Ovis aries: one gene and its partners. The protein of the gene in region 4 binds, or shares a complex with, the protein of the main gene of each other region. Links are inferred from orthologs where the notes say so. Each region holds a gene or a part of one and is shown on either strand. Other genes may lie near its edges.

The links.
Region 1: the proteins of GNAT1 (region 4) and RHO are in contact, whole or in part, in a cryo-EM structure (PDB 6OYA), measured with the Bos taurus proteins. The link is inferred for Ovis aries from reciprocal best matches to the Homo sapiens genes GNAT1 and RHO. Residues at the interface, in NP_851365.1 of Bos taurus: Ala27, Arg28, Asp189, Leu190, Val312, Glu314, Tyr316, Asp333, Ala334, Asp337, Ile340, Lys341, Asn343, Leu344, Lys345, Asp346, Cys347, Gly348, Leu349, Phe350; in NP_001014890.1 of Bos taurus: Leu72, Arg135, Val138, Val139, Lys141, Ser144, Asn145, Phe146, Arg147, Val230, Ala233, Gln236, Gln237, Ser240, Thr242, Thr243, Lys245, Ala246, Glu249, Val250, Met253, Met257, Asn310, Lys311, Gln312.
Region 2: the proteins of GNAT1 (region 4) and PDE6G are in contact, whole or in part, in a cryo-EM structure (PDB 7JSN), measured with the Bos taurus proteins. The link is inferred for Ovis aries from reciprocal best matches to the Homo sapiens genes GNAT1 and PDE6G. Residues at the interface, in NP_851365.1 of Bos taurus: Ser140, Arg201, Arg204, Lys205, Trp207, Ile208, Phe211, Asp227, Val229, Glu235, Val236, Asn237, His240, Glu241, His244, Leu245, Ser248, Ile249, Ile281, Phe283, Glu305, Leu306, Met308; in NP_776846.1 of Bos taurus: Arg36, Gln37, Phe38, Lys39, Ser40, Lys41, Pro42, Pro43, Lys45, Leu60, Val66, Ile67, Cys68, Pro69, Trp70, Glu71, Phe73, Asn74, His75, Leu76, Glu77, Leu78.
Region 3: the proteins of GNAT1 (region 4) and UNC119 are in contact, whole or in part, in a crystal structure (PDB 3RBQ), measured with the Homo sapiens proteins. The link is inferred for Ovis aries from reciprocal best matches to the Homo sapiens genes GNAT1 and UNC119. Residues at the interface, in NP_000163.2 of Homo sapiens: Gly2, Ala3, Gly4, Ala5, Ser6, Ala7, Glu8; in NP_005139.1 of Homo sapiens: Asp87, Phe88, Val89, Arg90, Phe91, Ile105, Lys106, Lys107, Gly126, Arg127, Phe128, Val129, Tyr131, Phe137, Val147, Glu163, Leu172, Ser218, Tyr220, Asn230.

The regions. Positions count from the first base shown.
Region 1 is NC_056072.1:56,173,707-56,177,664, forward strand, and holds the end of RHO (rhodopsin), read right to left. Parts: intron 3,422-3,958; coding exon 3,256-3,421; intron 3,138-3,255; coding exon 2,898-3,137; intron 2,088-2,897; coding exon 1,977-2,087; 3' UTR 551-1,976; downstream 1-550. UniProt on the Homo sapiens protein: Photoreceptor required for image-forming vision at low light intensity. Required for photoreceptor cell viability after birth.
Region 2 is NC_056064.1:50,649,808-50,653,876, forward strand, and holds the start of PDE6G (retinal rod rhodopsin-sensitive cGMP 3',5'-cyclic phosphodiesterase subunit gamma), read left to right. Parts: upstream 1-1,266; 5' UTR 1,267-1,322; intron 1,323-2,753; 5' UTR 2,754-2,851; coding exon 2,852-2,997; intron 2,998-3,457; coding exon 3,458-3,498; intron 3,499-3,946; coding exon 3,947-4,023; 3' UTR 4,024-4,069.
Region 3 is NC_056064.1:19,957,829-19,962,178, reverse strand, and holds the start of UNC119 (protein unc-119 homolog A), read left to right. Parts: upstream 1-1,542; 5' UTR 1,543-1,609; coding exon 1,610-1,829; intron 1,830-4,350. UniProt on the Homo sapiens protein: Involved in synaptic functions in photoreceptor cells, the signal transduction in immune cells as a Src family kinase activator, endosome recycling, the uptake of bacteria and endocytosis, protein trafficking in sensory neurons and as lipid-binding chaperone with specificity for a diverse subset of myristoylated proteins.
Region 4 is NC_056072.1:50,208,436-50,212,547, forward strand, and holds the start of GNAT1 (guanine nucleotide-binding protein G(t) subunit alpha-1), read right to left. Parts: upstream 2,833-4,112; 5' UTR 2,702-2,832; coding exon 2,596-2,701; intron 1,406-2,595; coding exon 1,363-1,405; intron 1,226-1,362; coding exon 1,084-1,225; intron 994-1,083; coding exon 836-993; intron 743-835; coding exon 614-742; intron 353-613; coding exon 223-352; intron 1-222. UniProt on the Homo sapiens protein: Functions as a signal transducer for the rod photoreceptor RHO. Required for normal RHO-mediated light perception by the retina.

The DNA of each region.
Region 1 (3,958 bases), about 6.0 Mb from region 4:
ACCTAGGGAGACGGAGTAGAGAGGGGCAACAGCAGAGATCCCAGCTATTACCTGCCCCAGCCCCTCCATGACAAGAAGGATCTCCCTTCTCAGACTCCTGCTGCCTTTTCCCGCCTTGGAGGAGGATGGTCATTCGGGAGCTACCCCTTCATCCCATTCCCCCTTCAGATGAGGTCCCTGGTAGGGCCAGCCCGGAGCTGAGGCTCCAGTAATGCAAAAAAGCCTCTCATCATCTGCTGAGCTCAGGAAGCACGTTGGCTGCATAAAGCCTGAAATCTCATAAAGGTCAGTTTTAAGATCCCCTTTTGCAGATAAGGAGGCTTCCAAGAGGTGACAAAATTTGCCTGCAGTTTCACAGGCCACCTGGATCTCTGTGACTCTGAGGTTGGAGCTTTTCCCATTCCTGGGCTTGCACTCCCAGGGGGCTCTGATAGTTGCTCAAACCCAGAAACCCCAGGGTTAAGGATCAGATGAACACTGCCCCGTTTCTACCCATCCTGTAGATAAAGAGCTTGAGACTGACAAAAACCACCACCACTAACACCAAGGATAGGAGCCGAGCTTTTAATACCCCAATTTGCCTTCATCTCCAGGCAGAGCTGGGGAGAGGTAGAGCTTCCCGCTTTGGTATGTAGTTGAGGAGGGGCATTTATGAGGCGGCTGGATTCTGATGTCCCAGAGTCCCAGCCAGCCTCGCAGCAGCAAGGACTCTCTGGAGTGGAGAACGGACTGGAGCCGCTGAAGGCTTGCCCAGCAAGGGAGCTAAAATCTGTGATCTGTGAACTTCCCTGGGGGAAGGTGGGTCCAGCTGGATTTCCCACACTTTTGTTTTTTAAGCTCTTTTTGAGACAAAGGTGATGTTGGGGACCCAGCTCTTCGTTAAATGTGGGCAGGTGAACATAACTTCTAGAAGCTCCATACGGGCCCAGAGATGCTGAAGCCTGGGTGCTGGGCAGGAGAGCTAGTGGTTTTTCAGATGCCGAGAGCAAGACCTGTCTCTCTGTGGGTTGCACTGGAAGGGAATGGCCCGCGTCATGGGGGCTCTGCACTGGCCCCAGACTCTGGTCCTCTGATGTTGTTTTCTTGTGTTTTTGTTTTCTTCTCAGGCCTGATGACTGCACTCTGCATTTCCTTGACTGTCCTTCCCTGTGGCCCACCACCCAGCGCTGGTCTGGCCTTGCTGTCTGTCTAATGTTTATAAGCCTGATGAGGCTGGATGCTTAGGGCTTTGCCCAATCTCAAAATGGTCGCTATCAAGAGGAGATGATCATAGGAATGAATTACTTATATTAATTGATATTATTCATAATGTTAACTACAGTCTGTCCAGCTCCTTACTATTTACAAAGAGCTCACACACGCAAGCACACGTGCACACACACACACACACACACACACACAATCTCATTTGATCTTCCCAGCAGCCATGTGAGGAGAGATTTGGAATTCCCATTGTATGGGGGAAGAAAGTGAGGCCCAAGGACAAAACAACTGCTCAAGGTCATCAGCCAAGGGCGAGCTGCTGCTGCTGCTAACATGTTATGAGAGAATGACTATGCCCTCCCGACCCGTTCATCTCTCCATCCACGTCTCCATTCATTCCTTCCTTCCTCCACCTAGCATTTATTAATAAGCACCTACGGCGTGCCCCGTCATGTGCTACTCACTTATCCCTAAGCTGGGACACTTTTCCAGAGCAAGAGCTCTTGTGTAGCTGAGAGATGAGCTGAGGGGAGCGGAGCTACAGTGGGCCCCCGGGAAATCAGGACTCCAGATCGGGCCGCCCCTGCCAAGTGAGGCGCCTCCTGTTTCGCTCATTGATTCGTTTGCATTTGGTTGGTTGGTTTTTGTGTTTACACTCAGGGAGCCTGTGAGAGCTGGTTCCAACAGGCGCGGCTCCGGATGGAGCTGCTGAGGCTGGGGTGGGGTGGGGGCTGGGGGACTCCTGCGGCTGGCCATGGAGTCCCTGGAGGGGCTTAGGCAGGCGCCACCTGGCTGGTCTCTGTCTTGGAGACGGTGGTGGAGGCCTCGTCATCACCCAGCGGGTTCTTGCCACAGCAGAGGGTGGTAAGCATGCAGTTCCGGAACTGGAAGGAAGAGGTAGGGTTAGGGTAGGGGTGCTCAGGGTCCCGCAGAGTCTGGGTGGGAAATGGCATTGTCAGCGCGGTGTGCCATCTCCCTCTTCTGCCTCTGGCCCTCCCAGCCTCCGATCCCCGGTCAGATGGCTGGGACCAAACCCGAAGGGACTCTGTCACTGGTGACGTGCCATGATGCCCTCAGTGTGCCAAGAGCCATCTGGAAGTTATCCCATTGAACCCAAGAGTTTAGGATTTCATCCTTTCCATGGATGAAGAAACTGAAATCCAGAAAAGGGAAGTGACTTGCCCAAGGCCACACAGCTAAAACCTAGCACAACTGGGATTTGAACCCGATCTGTCTGACTCCAGGTTTTCCCCACTGGACCAAAGAACCTGCAGAGGAACCTCTGGTCTATGTTAAAAGGACTGCTTTATCCCTTCATCCCTCAGAACGAGACTTTTTGGCATCCTGTCCAGCTTTGTGGAGACTGGCACCTGTTCCCAGGCCCGGGACTTTGACCGTCTGGACTTTCAGAACCATCTGGACTGGCGCTTCTCTTTCCTAAGCCAGTGTCAGAGGGCTTGTTAGAAATGCATATTCCTGGGCCCACCCTGAGCTTCTAATCAGAAGGTCTGGGGGTGGGTCCAGGAATCTGCATCTCTCCCGGATGACTCATGATCACCCCAGGGAAAACCAACACCCACCCACCCACCCCGCCCATTTTGCAGGTGGAAAGACTGAGGCCCGATTAAGACTGCGGCTTCTCCACCTGTCGCCTCGGGGGGAACCTGGCCCCTTCCCACCCCACCAGCAGGCACCTGCTTGTTCATCATGATGTAGATGACGGGGTTGTAGACGGAGGAAGACTTGGCAAAGAAAGCCGGGATGGTCATGAAGATGGGGCCAAAGTCGGAGCCCTGATGGGTGAAGATGTAGAACGCCACCCCGGCGTAGGGCAGCCAGCAGATCAGGAAGGCGATGACCATGATGATCACCATGCGGGTGACCTCCTTCTCGGCCTTCTGAGTGGTGGCCGACTCCTGCTGCTGGGCAGCCGCCTGCGGGGACACAGGGCCCGGTGTCCAGACTCGAGGCTCCTCTGGGCCGGGGGCCGCGCTCAGCCTCATCAACGCTCTTGTCCCCAGCCCCACAGCACCGGTCCCCCAAGGACCCTACCTCCTTGACGGTGAACACCAGCTGCCCGTAGCAGAAGAATATGACGATCAGGGGGATGGAGAAGTGGACCACGAACATGTAGATGACGAACGACTCATTGTTGATCTCCGGCTTGAGCGTGTAGTAGTCAATCCCGCACGAGCACTGCATGCCCTCCGGGATGTACCTGAGGCCCGGGAGGGGCAGGGGCCGGAGGGGCAGGGGGAGACCCGCGTGTGAGGGACCGGGGAACAGGCCCCGCTGGCCAGAGTCCTCTGCCAACGCCTGCAGCAGGGCTGCCCTCACTCTGGGCCTCACTTCCCCCCTCTGTAAAATGGGGATAATAAACCTTTCCTTGGCTGTGAGGCTCACATCTACTGAGATAAGGGATCCAAGTGTGTGGAAACAGTGTTGTTGCCTCGTTCAGCGCTGTGTTACCCTGGGACCCTGGTCTCTCCCAGTCTCTCACTCCCCGCGCCCCTACTCTGCCCCCCTGCTTCCCTGCCTGGCGCTTCTTCAGCCGGCCTACCACTCCCAAGTGGCTGGAGGCCAGGCCTCGGACCATGAGGTAGGTGGGGAGAAGGGAAAAGCTCCCAATGTCTGTATTGCAGGCACCCAGGTCTTTTTAGGCCGCTCAGGGTAATTAAGGGATTTTTGCACAGTTTCTGGAAACAAGAGGCCCTGGGGCGTGTGGTTAGGGCGTGTGATTTCAGAGGACGGTGAC
Region 2 (4,069 bases), on a different chromosome or scaffold from region 4:
GATACCAGTGGCCTGGATGGACAGGGTTAAACGAATTTATGCCTATTTTATCTCCTCATTTAAAAGAAAAGCTAGGGTTGTGATCTGACGTCATGAAGGAGTTGAGCTGATAAAACAGGCCTTCCCAGGTAGAGGCCTTCAGTGTAAAGCCAGCATTTTCCACAAAGGCAGATCTGTGGACAAAAGAATGAAACGACACAGCCACAAGACATGCTGCTGTGCTAATGCCTGAGGATATACCCAGTAGTGCCAGCTGTCTTGGCCAGCTAATGATATCCAGAAGCAGTTGTGGTTTTTTCAGAGAAACATGATAGTAGCAATACAGGTTTGTTACACTTTATGTTAGAGACCATCTACTTCAATCATGTACTACAGATTTGAAAATGGCCCAGGAAAAGATTTCCCTGGAGACAAAAGCACAACAGACCTTAGTGGGCCTGAGGCCCCAAAGGGGTCTACAACATAGAGATAGTTAATCTCAGAGATGTAAGAAGAAGTTTACTGTACTTTTCTCAATAAAACATATTTATGAAAAAAAAGAAAGATTTTCTATGTGTATATGAACCTGGGGTTGATCTTTGTGAAGTCCCAGGAGGAGGAAGCTAGGGGAAGGGGAGAGATGTCGAAAATGCACCACTTGGTGGGAACAGCAGGTGCAAAGGCCCTTGGGTGGAAGGAGTTCCTTAGAACACACAGCAGGAGGGAGGGATGAGAGGTGAGGCCACCAAAGTGAATCAGGACCAGGCTACCTGGCTTTGGGGGCCAGAAAGGGGTTCCTCAGCAGTCAGGACTGAAAGTGGAGAGAGGCCTGAGATGGCAGCCAGTGCCGTATCATCTTTGCTTCAAAAATGAGCAGCTTCAGGGACTTCTTGGTGGTCCAGGGGTTAAGACTCCGTACTTCCAATGCAGGGGGCCTGGGTTCAACCCCGGATCTGGGACCTAGATCCCACATGCCACAGCTAAGAGTTCCCATGCTGCAACTTCAGATCTCGCATGCCACAACTAGGACCCAGCATAGCAAATAAATATTTTTTTAAAAAACAAGCAGCTTCAGGAGAGGCTGGTTGTTCATGATCATACATCCCTTGCCTGCCCTGACCCTGTCCCCAGATTGTCCTTCCCTTGACCACACCTGAGCCCCTTCCCCCATCTCGGGGGAGTCCTCGGTAGTGCTACCCAACCCCACAATCTCATTAGTGTGGTGTCAGGCACAGTCCTAATCAGCTTATCCAGCTGCAGGATAAATGCCCAGCCAGCGCCCTGCTGAGGGAGGCCTGCCACTCACACCCATGGTCCCCTGAGACCTGCTGCCCTGGAACCTGGTGAGTAGCGACCTTCTCAGGTTGCCTTTCCCGGTGGCCACTTACCCAAGGGTGTTAGTGGGTATCTGTCCAGAGGGTGGGGAGCTGGTGGGCTTTTCACCACCGTCCTGAGGTCTGGGTCTATGGGAAGCCACCCACAACCCTGTTCAGAGAGGATGCCCAGCCTATCACATCCTCTGCTCCCCATGTCAGACGGTGGTGCAGGCTGTCCCCGAGGCTAGCAATGGTCTCGGAGCTTCAGGCCACACACACTCAACCAACCTAAATGGGCACAAGCTACAGGCCAGGCTGGAGCCAGGGAAGCTCAGGCAGCGGTTTCCATGGGGTAGCATCTGATAGTTGGAGCTCCATCAGGTCTAAGAACTGCCCGCACCAGGCCCATGGCCTGGAACTGGGGAAAGGGTCTGGCTGGGCCTACAGTGCCTGGGCCGTGAGGAGTGGGTGTTGTGGGGTTTGAGCCACCAGGGCCACCAGACCTGCCGCTGTCCACCTTGAACCCAGTGTAGATCTGGCCCCTGACCCCCGGTTCCTCTCAGGCTGATGCTGGTCCCAGCACAGAGGCCAAAACTTAGGGAGGGGAGGTCCACAGCAGGGCCCATCCAACTCTAGGTGCCCTGGTCCTCATGGCCAGGCCTTCCTCGCTGGTCTTGACAGAACCAGCTGTCCTTGCCTCCCAACTGGTCTCAGCCCTTAAACTCTAGCAGGCAGTGGGTAGTGGCCCCAGACAGAAGTCAGGCATTGCAGCCCACAAATGGGGGACAAGAAAAGGGGCCCCAAGAGGTGATGCCTGGGGCATCCAGTGCCAGGGTAGCTACGGCTCCTGGCTGTGTCATGTACTTAGCCCCAGAACCTTCTGGGCTCACAGTGCTTCCTGAGAGATTAGTCTACCCCTGGTGCTAATAGGCTTAAAGGAAGGTGAGCTTCCCGTGGCCAAGGTCACCAGGGCTTAGGGCATCCAGGGGGAAGCTCTGGGGGAGAGGAGGAAGGGAGGCCACTCCATGCGGTGGGTTCAAGGACACCAGCAGGTGATGCTGGCACCTAGCGAGTGGTGGCAGGTGGAGGGGTTATGTTTACCAACAGAGGGAAGACGCTGCTGGAACCAAGGCTACACAGCCCGGTTGGGGGTTTCATTGTGACACAGGCCCCTCCCCTGCCCTCCCATTTCTCAGGCTACTTTTAGGCGCCATTGGGTGCCCAACATGCCACCATAAATGAGGCTGAGTGTTCCACCCCAGAGATTGGGATGGGGAATGCAGAAGGAGGAAGCCATAAGGAGGTTGCCCCTGGGGACCACCCAGCGCTCTCACCCCCTTCCCGGTCCTCATTTGGGCCCCAAGTGCAGTTGGCAGAGGCTCCCCGGGTCAGGGGACTGCCATCCAAGTCCTACTGGGAACCGGTGGGTCTCATATTGCAGGGTTTCCTCTGTTCCAGGGAGCTGAGATTGGCGAGGAGGGTCGGAAGCAGGAGGGCCCAGAGCGTGGGGCAGTCCAGAAGCTGAAGGTCGCTGCGGGATCTCTGCCAACCTGGCCATGAACCTGGAGCCACCCAAGGCCGAGATCCGGTCGGCCACCAGGGTGATGGGGGGACCCGTCACTCCCAGGAAAGGGCCCCCGAAATTTAAGCAGCGGCAAACCAGGCAGTTCAAGAGCAAGCCCCCCAAGAAAGGTGTCCAAGGGTAAGCAGAGCTGTGGGAGGGGTGGCTCTGAGAGGGGGTGGAGGGCCCACCAGCTGTACAGGAGGGAGGGGGGCTGCACTGCAGGTGGGGGGCTGGGTGGGGCCTCACACCACCCTTTTCTGGTGGAAGGCAATCCCATCCTCCTAAGCTGGTGGGGCAGTTCTTGGGGGCTTGAGCTGGCCTGTCTCAGGGTCCCCATTCCCTGGGGATGGGGAGGGGTGTCCTTTTTAGCTGTTATTGCTGAAAGGTCTGGAAAGCACACCCATCCACGCCATCACCCAGACACTCAACCAGCACCCCACTAACTGATGTGCATCTCCACACACGCAGCCCTATCTGTACACACCCAGGACACACTCAGACACACCACGTTCCCAGGAACCTGCACTCAAGTACACGCACGTCCCCCACACCCCTCCTCTCTTCCTGGCCACCGGCCCTGACTGCTCTGTCCTTGCAGGTTTGGTGATGACATCCCTGGAATGGAAGGCCTGGGAACAGGTATGACAACCACAAGTGTCCACCTAGGTCCCCCTGCTCGCCCACCACCCAGAGTGCCTGAGGCCCAGCCCCCCACCCCAGGCAGAGGGCACCTCCCCCTAGCTGTGATTCATTCCCTTTCCCGACTGCAAGCTTCAGAGTGGGGTCGTTCCTTCAGTGGGTGCTTGGAGGGGCTGGGAGGAACAAAGCTCTTGCTGTCCCCACCCCAACCCCTCTCACCAGCAGCAAGGCCCACCTTCCACCCCGCCTCTTCCAGGCCTGCTGCACCCACTCTCTTCCTGGGCAGGGAACCCATTTGATACCCCCCAAAGGTGGTGTGTCCTGAGAGGAGGGCTCTATGCCCAAGGACCCTGTACCCTCACCACTGGGGTGTGGACAACAGGGCCCAGAGGGCATGGTGGCGCCAGCAGCCATGGGACCCTCAACCTACTGCCCCCTTGTCCTGCAGACATCACCGTCATCTGCCCGTGGGAGGCCTTCAACCACCTGGAGCTGCACGAGCTGGCCCAGTACGGCATCATCTAGCCCTGGATCCCCGCCCTTGGCCCCTCTACTCCACTGCCCGCCGTGA
Region 3 (4,350 bases), on a different chromosome or scaffold from region 4:
TCCCACTGCAGCAGGGGCAGCTTATCTTTCTGCCCTGTTCCTCACAGTCCTCTTGCACTGAGTGGGAGCATTAGGGAAAAGCCCTGGGTGGGATCTAGGGCCCTTCCCTCCTGCTTCTCTCTGATCCCTCAGAGAGAGCCCTAGCACTGCTCTTCTAGAAGGGGCCAGGCCCGTGTCATCTCTGGGGCCTTCTCCCTTCCTCCTGGGTGGCTACACTTGGTGGGTGCAGCCTGATGCTGTGTGTGGCAGAGCTTCCCTTCCTCATCCCTTTATAGAGGCAGTGTGGTACAGTGGGGAGAGTTCTGGACTTGGGATCCAACATGTCTGAATTCAACCCTTGCTTCTGCACTTAATATCAGGGGAGCTTTGAATAAGCTACTTAATCCTCTCTGAGCCTCAGTTTTTCTTTTGTTAAAATAGCACTAATGACACCTCCCTTACAGGGTGGTTGTGAGGATTAAATGTGATGAGCTTGTGAAAGTGTCTGGCATATTCTAGGCTCTCAATAAACATTGGTTGAATATGAACTGGAATGATATGAAGTGTGATCATACCTTTCATTCTTCATTCGTGTGTAAGTCATGGTTTCCTCCTGTCTGTCTTCCTCGGCTCACTGGGTCCGTTTTACTTCCACCTAGCCAGGTGCCCTTCCTACCTTTCCTGTCCTGGAGGGCCCTGTGGTGACTAGACATTGTAGGCTGTTGTCCCTCAGAATTTCCTGGGTTATCTAGCAGGGGGTCTGGGAGAGGAGTAGCAGTGTAAGCTCTCAGATACTAACTGATTCATAAATTCTAAAAAAGAATATACAGTTGGCCCTTGAACAACGTAGTGGGTGAGATGCCTACCCTCTGCGCATTCAAAACTCAGACAATAATTTATATTTGGCCTTGTTTATCTGCAGTTGCATACCCACATATTCAGCCAACCTCCCATCGTGTAGTATTGTAGTATTTTCTATTGAAAAAAAATCCAGATAGGTGGACCCACTCACTTCAAACCCATGTTGTTCAAGGGTCAACTGTGTTGAGTGCAAGCTGCAGTGGGCACTGGACTAAGTGCTGGGTATTCTAGAGAACAGAGACGAGATCTCCAGTTTCACCGAACTGGTCTTGTAGGAGGACTGGTCAGTGAGCAAATGAAACGAATTTCAGATGATGCATTAGAAAAAACAGGCTGATCAGATAGTGATGGGGTGTCTGAGAGGGCCTCTGAGCAGATGACATTTGAGCTGAGACCGGAAGAACGAGAGGAGGCCACCTCTGGGGGAAGAGCATCCCAGGCCCTGAGACGCGAACTCATGTGCGAGGGGCAGAGGGAAGGGCGGAGTGGCTGGAAGCCAGCGAATAAGAAGGGGTAGGTAGCCAGGACCCTGAAAACCCCTACCGGAAAAATGAACGACGTCCCCGGGCGGGCCCCCTCCCTGCCCCGGGTCCGTAGCCCAGGTGGGCGGGCGGTGGGCGGGGTCAGCCCCGGGCCCACCCCGGGGGCGGGGCGGTACCTGGGGCTCCGGTCCGGCCGGGGGCGGGGCTGCGGACGCTCCCCCTTCTCTCGGCTCCAGCCGGCGCAGGCAGCCGCGGCGGCAGCAGGCGAGCCGCGGCCCCGCGAGGCCATGAAGGTGAAGAAGGGCGGCGGCGGGGCCGGGACGGGAGCGGAGCACGCTCCAGGGGCCTCGGGCCCGAACGTGGAGCCCAAGCCGGAGCTGCAGGCGGAATCCGAATCCGGGTCCGAGTCGGAGCCGGAGGCAGGCCCGGGGCCCAGGCCGGGGCCGCTGCAGAGGAAGCAGCCGATCGGGCCGGAGGACGTGTTGGGGCTGCAGCGGATCACCGGCGGTGAGCACCCGCGAGGCAGCATCACCCGCGGGCGGGAGTGAGAGAGCGCGAGAGGGGGCCCTCCGGGCGCGCAGAGTCTGGGCCCCCGCCCCCTTTCCCGCCCTCCCCCGCCTCCCCTCCCCCACCCGGGTGCCCCTCTCTTGTGTCCTCTACCCTTCTGCCTCCAAGCCTGAGATCTCCATGTCCCCCCTTTCCTCGATCTCTCTCTGCGCTCGCCTTGTCCCTTTAGAGATTCGTTTCCACCCCTTTCCTTCCTTTTTGAGGAGTCCATCCCCCTTTCCCATGGTGGAGGTGGGGCAGCAGCTGCAACTGTGACCCCCTCCCCACAGAGTCTTCAGAGTTTTTTGAAGATCTTCTCTGCAATAATGAGGAGGGGGCTGAATGCAGTCAGTCCCCAGTCTCCTCCACCCTAGAGGCTACGTGTGGTATCAAAACCCTTAGGTCTCCTTCACACTGGACACCCCCAGGAAGTCTGGGGCCATCACTCTCTCCAGGAAAGGACCTGAAGAGGAAGCTTCAGTGCTTTGACTCTGGGCTTCTCAAGGAAGTGGGTTAATACCCCCTTTAGCCTGAACTAGGGCCTGTCCTCTTCTGGGAGGCCAAGCCACCACTGTGGTTGAGTTTCTGAGCTGGATTGCCAAACTGAAGTTCCAGCTTTGCCGTCCTATTGGCTGTGTGACCTTGGGCTAATAACTTCACCTCTCTGAGCATATTCGTCTGTAAAATGGGAATAATGACCCCTAACTTTAGAGAGCTGTTGTGAAAATAAATCCTGTGATTTTGCACTGTGCCTGGCAGGCCGTGCATGCTGTGTAAATAGGGCTCTTTTGTCAATACTGAGGGCCCCACAGGACTGCTCATGGCTGCTGCCTGGAGGCAGACAAATGGGCATTCAGGGCGGGGGAGGGGGTCACCGTAGGCAGGGAACAAGGGAGGGAAGTCTCATGGCAGAGGCCGCGGCTGAGCCTGAAAGAACAGAAGGCACTTGGAGAGGCAGTGGCCTTCTATCTTGGCCTCATTGGTTAGTACCCCTGCCCTGGCTCCCTCTGTGAGGGCAACTTTTGGAGTCCCCCTGTGAGGGTAGGGAGCAGTTGCTGGACTGGACCTGAGCTCTGGTGCTGCAGGAGCAGAAGAGTCCAGGGCTTCCAAACAGCTGTGGAGGGGACTGTGATGGCAGGTCTAGGCCTGTGCATCTGGGTCCCCAGGGGACCAGCATCTCCCTCCTCTCTTAGCCAGGCAGCAGTCATTCTTGGCTGGGCCCTCGGAGCACTGAACTGCCTTACCCAAGCAGGCAGTAATAGGGGGAAGGTGCCTGGACCAGTCTGATGGTGGTGCCAGTTGGGCTATAATTGGCAACAGTAGCATTTAGGATTCAGGTTAGCTCTGGGGCAGAACTTCCCTATAGGATGTCTAACTTGTCCCAGTCCTAGGTAACTTTCGAGGTGATTTTGCAGCCAGAGGGACTTCTAGCCCATATACAACTGTGTGTCTGAATTTGGAGGAAATTCATAGCCCTTAGAGATTCAGCATCTGTGGGCGATTAGAGGAAGAGTCTTCACCAGATCCCTCTTCTTTGTGGAAGCTGAGAACAGGGCTCCAGGAATCTTTCCACTGGCACCCCTGCCTGTCTCCTCTGACCCTAATCACACAGGTCTGAGTTTGTTCTTCCTGGATTACCCAGACCTGAATCCAGCTTAGGAAGCTATTTGTGGCTGAGGCGAAGGGAGCAGTTGCATTCTGAGCCCTCAGCCACTCTGCCCCTTATCGGGCCTGACCCCAAGTCCCAGGCATCATCCTTCTCCAGCTGGGGGAGGGAGTGGAGGTGGTGTCTTGAGCCATGGGCATCTTCCATTCCTCACTTCCTCTAAGGACAAAGGGATTGATAGGCTGAGTTTGCAGTAGAAGAGACAGAGGTCACACTGCCAGTTGTTCTCCAGTGAGAGGAGAGTCTCTGGAAGTTAGGGAATGGGGGAAGGAGTGGAACCCTATGGGGAGCCAGGAGCTGGGCGACTAGGGTGCTGTTCTGAGTTCTGCCTCTTCCTCTCCTCTGCCCTGCACTTTCCTCCTACGTCTTTGGATTAGTGTTTACTTTCTGTGAAAATAAGTTGTGTCCAGGGTGAGGCAGGACCTGCCTACTTCCATTCCTCCTCTCCCCACCGTGGGCTGTGATGGGCAGGCCAGGGCTCCAGCCCCACCATAAGTCCTGTGTAGTCCCTGCTGGACCCCAAGTGCCAGGTGGCCACCAGGAGGGCTTCCTGGAGGGGGCTGCCCCATGCTTGGGAAGAGAGAATGACTTTACATTCACTTCCTCTTCCTGCCCCAGAGAAATCAGTGGTGGCCTAGGGGCCTAGCGGGTGATTTCCGGGCCTCTGCAGGGAGGATGTGATGCTGTGCTGGCACCAGAGCCCCCACTGCACCTCTCTGTTTCTTCCTATTTGCTGTTGGGGCCTCCTCCCTGAGTGCTTGCAGTTGCCGCTGCAAGAGTGGTGAGGGTTGGATCAGGCCCTGCTATTTCTGAGCT
Region 4 (4,112 bases):
GGCTCCGGGTCCCCACTCAGACAGCTCCAAGACTCTCCTTCTCCTCCCACTCACCCACTCTCCCTCATCTCCTGATGAGGAGGCTGCCTCGTCTCCTCCTGCAGAGGGCTCTGGGACGAACACCCTCTCTCAGATGCTCCCAGCGGCCCGCCTGCAGCGCCGGCTCCCCTTCCTCCTCTCCCCCTCCCCGCTCAGTCGCCCAGGCCCGGCCCAGACGCTCACCACTTCGTCATCCTCCACCAGCACCATGTCGTAGGCGCTCAGCGCCGCGATGAAGATGATGCAGGTCACCCCCTCGAAGCAGTGGATCCACTTCTTGCGCTCTGAGCGCTGCCCGCCCACATCGAACATCCTGCGGGGCCGTGAGCACCGGAAACCCGGGCATCAAGTCCCCCGGAGACGCCCACGGGCATCCCCTGGCTTCCTGATGCTGGCTGGGAAGCACCCAGATGGGCCTGGCATCCGGAGGGACCGGACTTCTCTGCCGGTGGGGTGCTGGAGAAGTGGCAGGGTCTCTAGAAGGGCTGGGACCTCTGAGACCAGCAGGCCTCGGGCAGTGAACTTGGGGAAGGCCTCCCCACTCCAGAGCAGGAATCAGGGCTCAGTGTCCTACCGAAAGTTGAGGTCCTTGAAGGAGAACTGCGTCTCAATGATACCCGTGGTCTTGACACGGGAGCGCAGCACATCCTGTTCCGTGGGCACGTAGCCCGGGGTTACCAGGCGCTCCAGGTCTGAGAGATAGCTGTGGGAGATACGGGGTGTGGGTAGGGTTGGGTGGAGGGATGTGCCAGGGCCCTGCCTGCCCTCCACCCCTGCACCTGGCCTGTGCTCTCACTAGCCAGCAGAGTCGTTGAGCTGGTACTCCGAGGCTCGCTCGAAACAGGCCTGGATGCCGGAGTCCTTCCACAGCCGCTGGATGATATCTGACATCTCCTTGGGCATCGTACCCTCCTCGATGGTGTCTGCCATGTGCATCAGCTTCCGGGCGTCGTCCTGAGAGCAGGGGAGTGGTTGGCGGTAACCAGGGGCTGGGGCCCAGCCTCGGATCCCCAGAAGCCCTGTTCAGCTAGTCTCTTGGCACACCTGGCGCGCAGAGTCTCCGTACTGGATGTTGAGCGTGGTCATGGCACGCACGATGGCCAGGATGGACTGTAGCGTGTTGCCATAGATGATGGCAATGAACTCGAGACACTCTTCCAGTGAGTACCCGTCCTGGTGGATAATCCTACAGCCACAGGAGCTGGGTTAGCACCTCTTGGGTGGGTCGGGGATCAGACCTCCAGAGCACGCCCACCCCCAGGGCCTCGGTAGGGCAGGGGCACCACCCACCCCCAGGGCCTCAGGTAGGGTGGGGGCACTCACTTCATCTGCTTGACAATGGTACTCTTCCCGGATTCACCGGCACCTGGATTGGAATGGAAACCCGGCCTCGGAGATCCGCAGACCACACTGTCCCCTCTATCCCACCCGTTTCCCTACCACACTCCCAAAATAACGTCCTAATGCTCCGGCAGCAAAACCTAAATGTCAGGAGTGACCAAAGTGGGCTGACGAGGCTAATGGACAACCTCAACTCTGTCCTGGAGCCTCCAACACCTTGTAGGCTGTCTTATTTTTCGGAGGCCAAAAATAAAGAAACCTGGAGCTCCACCTTGTGGACGGTTCTGGTACTACGCGCATGGGATTATTTGAGCCAGGTCAACCCCTGCTTTTCCACCTGAGGTGGAAGGGAGTGACCCCAAGAGGCTCAGAGGGAATTAGCACGTTTTGCTGGGGGAGAAGACAGAGCTGACAGTCCTTCTGAGCCTGCTCTCGTGTGGGTGTCGGGCGCAGTTAATGGGATTTCTGGCTTAGCCTGTCTTTCCTGGGGTACTCTGGTTTGGTCTCTTTACACACATTCACCTGTCTGGCTGAACCCTGGACAGCCTTGGTGAAGCCTGAGGTGCCTTCTCAAAGCAGTTCCTTCCTTCGGTGGTGGTGGCAGGAGGAAGTACTAGATCAGACCTATGTCCCCTCACTACCCATGGGACCAAGTATCTATTCTCCGCTGGGCCTTAGTAGCCCTCTACACCTTTCAGTTGTCCTGCAGGTCTGCCAGCAATGAAGCTCTGGAAACTGAGGGCCACTGTGTGTGGACCTGGGAGGTCCTGGAAGCTACCTACTCTCAGGAGGACTGTGACCTTCTCCTTCCCAAGGCAGCAGCCTTGTTGTGGTGCTCCCAATGAGGCCCCTGGCTTCTGAGCCCTGCCCAGCAGGCCCGTCAAGCTAAAGGCTGCAGTTTGAGGGAACATAGCCTGGGCAAAAGTGGGCCTTGAACACACGTCTCTCAAAAAAGTGTGATTGGCACACACATCTTGGGAGGGGAGGTTGCCTGAGGTTTGAGCCCTCCAGAGAGGGTTTCTGTGGGATACCTAGCCTTAGGGAGCCAAAAGTATCGCCCATCAGGCCTGGTCTTGCTTGGCCTGGACTCCACTCTGTTGCTAGGCTGTAGGCTCATTCTGTTTCCCAAATCACACCTGCTTCACAGAAGGGCCACCTGCTTGCCCCCAGGCCTCTGACTGGCAGATGTGGCCCCTCCTCAGCCCACCCCCTTACCCAGAAGCAGCAGTTTCACGGTTCGAGCATCTTTCTCAGCATCTTCTTTCAGCTTCTTTTCCAGCTCCCTTGAGTGCTTCTCCTCAGCGCTGGCCCCAGCCCCCATGGTCCTGGCAGGAGGTGAAGGAGGAGGGCCGTGAGTTGGTTCTTCCGGATGGAGGGGTTCCCCAGAGCCAGGCTCGGGCTAGCCTCTGGCCTCCTCGGACACCCTTCTGACCCCCGAACTGGGAATCCAATGGCTGTCTGCAGATCTGTGCAGGGCCTGGTGGGGCTGCTTAGTAGGATTTGGGGGTTGTTGGTATCTAAGAGCCAATCAGAGACAAGGACAGGTGAATCCAGCTCAGCCCCCAGCCCTCCTAATCAGGCTGGCATAGCCCCAATCCCTCAACTGCTGACTCTGCACCCCCCTCTCTGCCGCTCCCCAAACCCTCTGGGAGAGACCCTGGAGGTAGTCCAGCCCTTGCTCCAAAGCAGGGGGACAAGTTCTGGGGGGTTCAGGCTCAGAAAGGGGAAGAGAGGGCCTCAGTTCTGGGGGTGGGGGTAATGAGGGGTGGGCCTGGGAGCAGGGAGGAGGAGAAGCCTGCAAGGAGCACCTGCCCACTGCCTAGTACTGGGCTCAGCACTGCTCCTTGCCGAGCTCACAGCAGCCTGGCGGATGCCCCACATCCCTGCACCGATGAGGAAGCGGAGGCTCAGAGGATCACACTGCAGGAGGTGGTTGAGAAGGGCCGGTGACTCCAGGCCAGGGTTCCACGCTCAACAGGGAGTCAGGAAGGAAATGTGGACATTGCATTTGCCCTGTGCCAAGGGCTGGATCCAACCCGGTGAGGCCTCTCCCTGCCTCCATGATTCATACAGACTTGGGTGCGTGTGCGTGTATCCTGTACTGGTGTCAAGCAAGGCAATGACATATGTTTGTGTATACCTGCGTGTAAACATGTGCCTGTGGTTTCATGAGTACAAGTGTATGTCTGTGTTTGCCTGTTTGTGTACCACGTGTGTGTGTGCATGGATGTTTTGGTGCACTTCTTATGTGTGTGTTTATATGTGTACTTTGCTACGCTTACGTGGGTTAATGTTGCATGTGTGTGAATGTATAAGCGCATGCACATGTGAAATGCGTGTGTGTGGACTTGCCTGTGTGCACGTATCTACCTGTATGTGTGCACACTTGCACGTGTGTGTACCCATAAACTTGAGGTCAGCAGTCTGACCTGCAGACGTGGCCAGGCTCTTCCAGGGAATATCTTGCAGGCCTGTTATCAGATGGGAACACTGAGTCTCAGAGCAGGTCTGGCATTCCCAGGGGAGGAGGGGATGAGCCCCACTCCTCTTCTGTCCCCTGTGGGTGCTCTAGGAGCTGTCAGGGGTATCTCCAGGGCATGCCTGCCTCAGCTTAGGGGTTAGATGTCTGTGAGGTTAGGATGGGACAGGGTGTGCTCCTAAGTGGGAGTGGTTCAGCTGAGCAAGTGGTGTTGAGTTGCAGCCTCTGGAGTTTTGCCATCTCCCATGAGAAG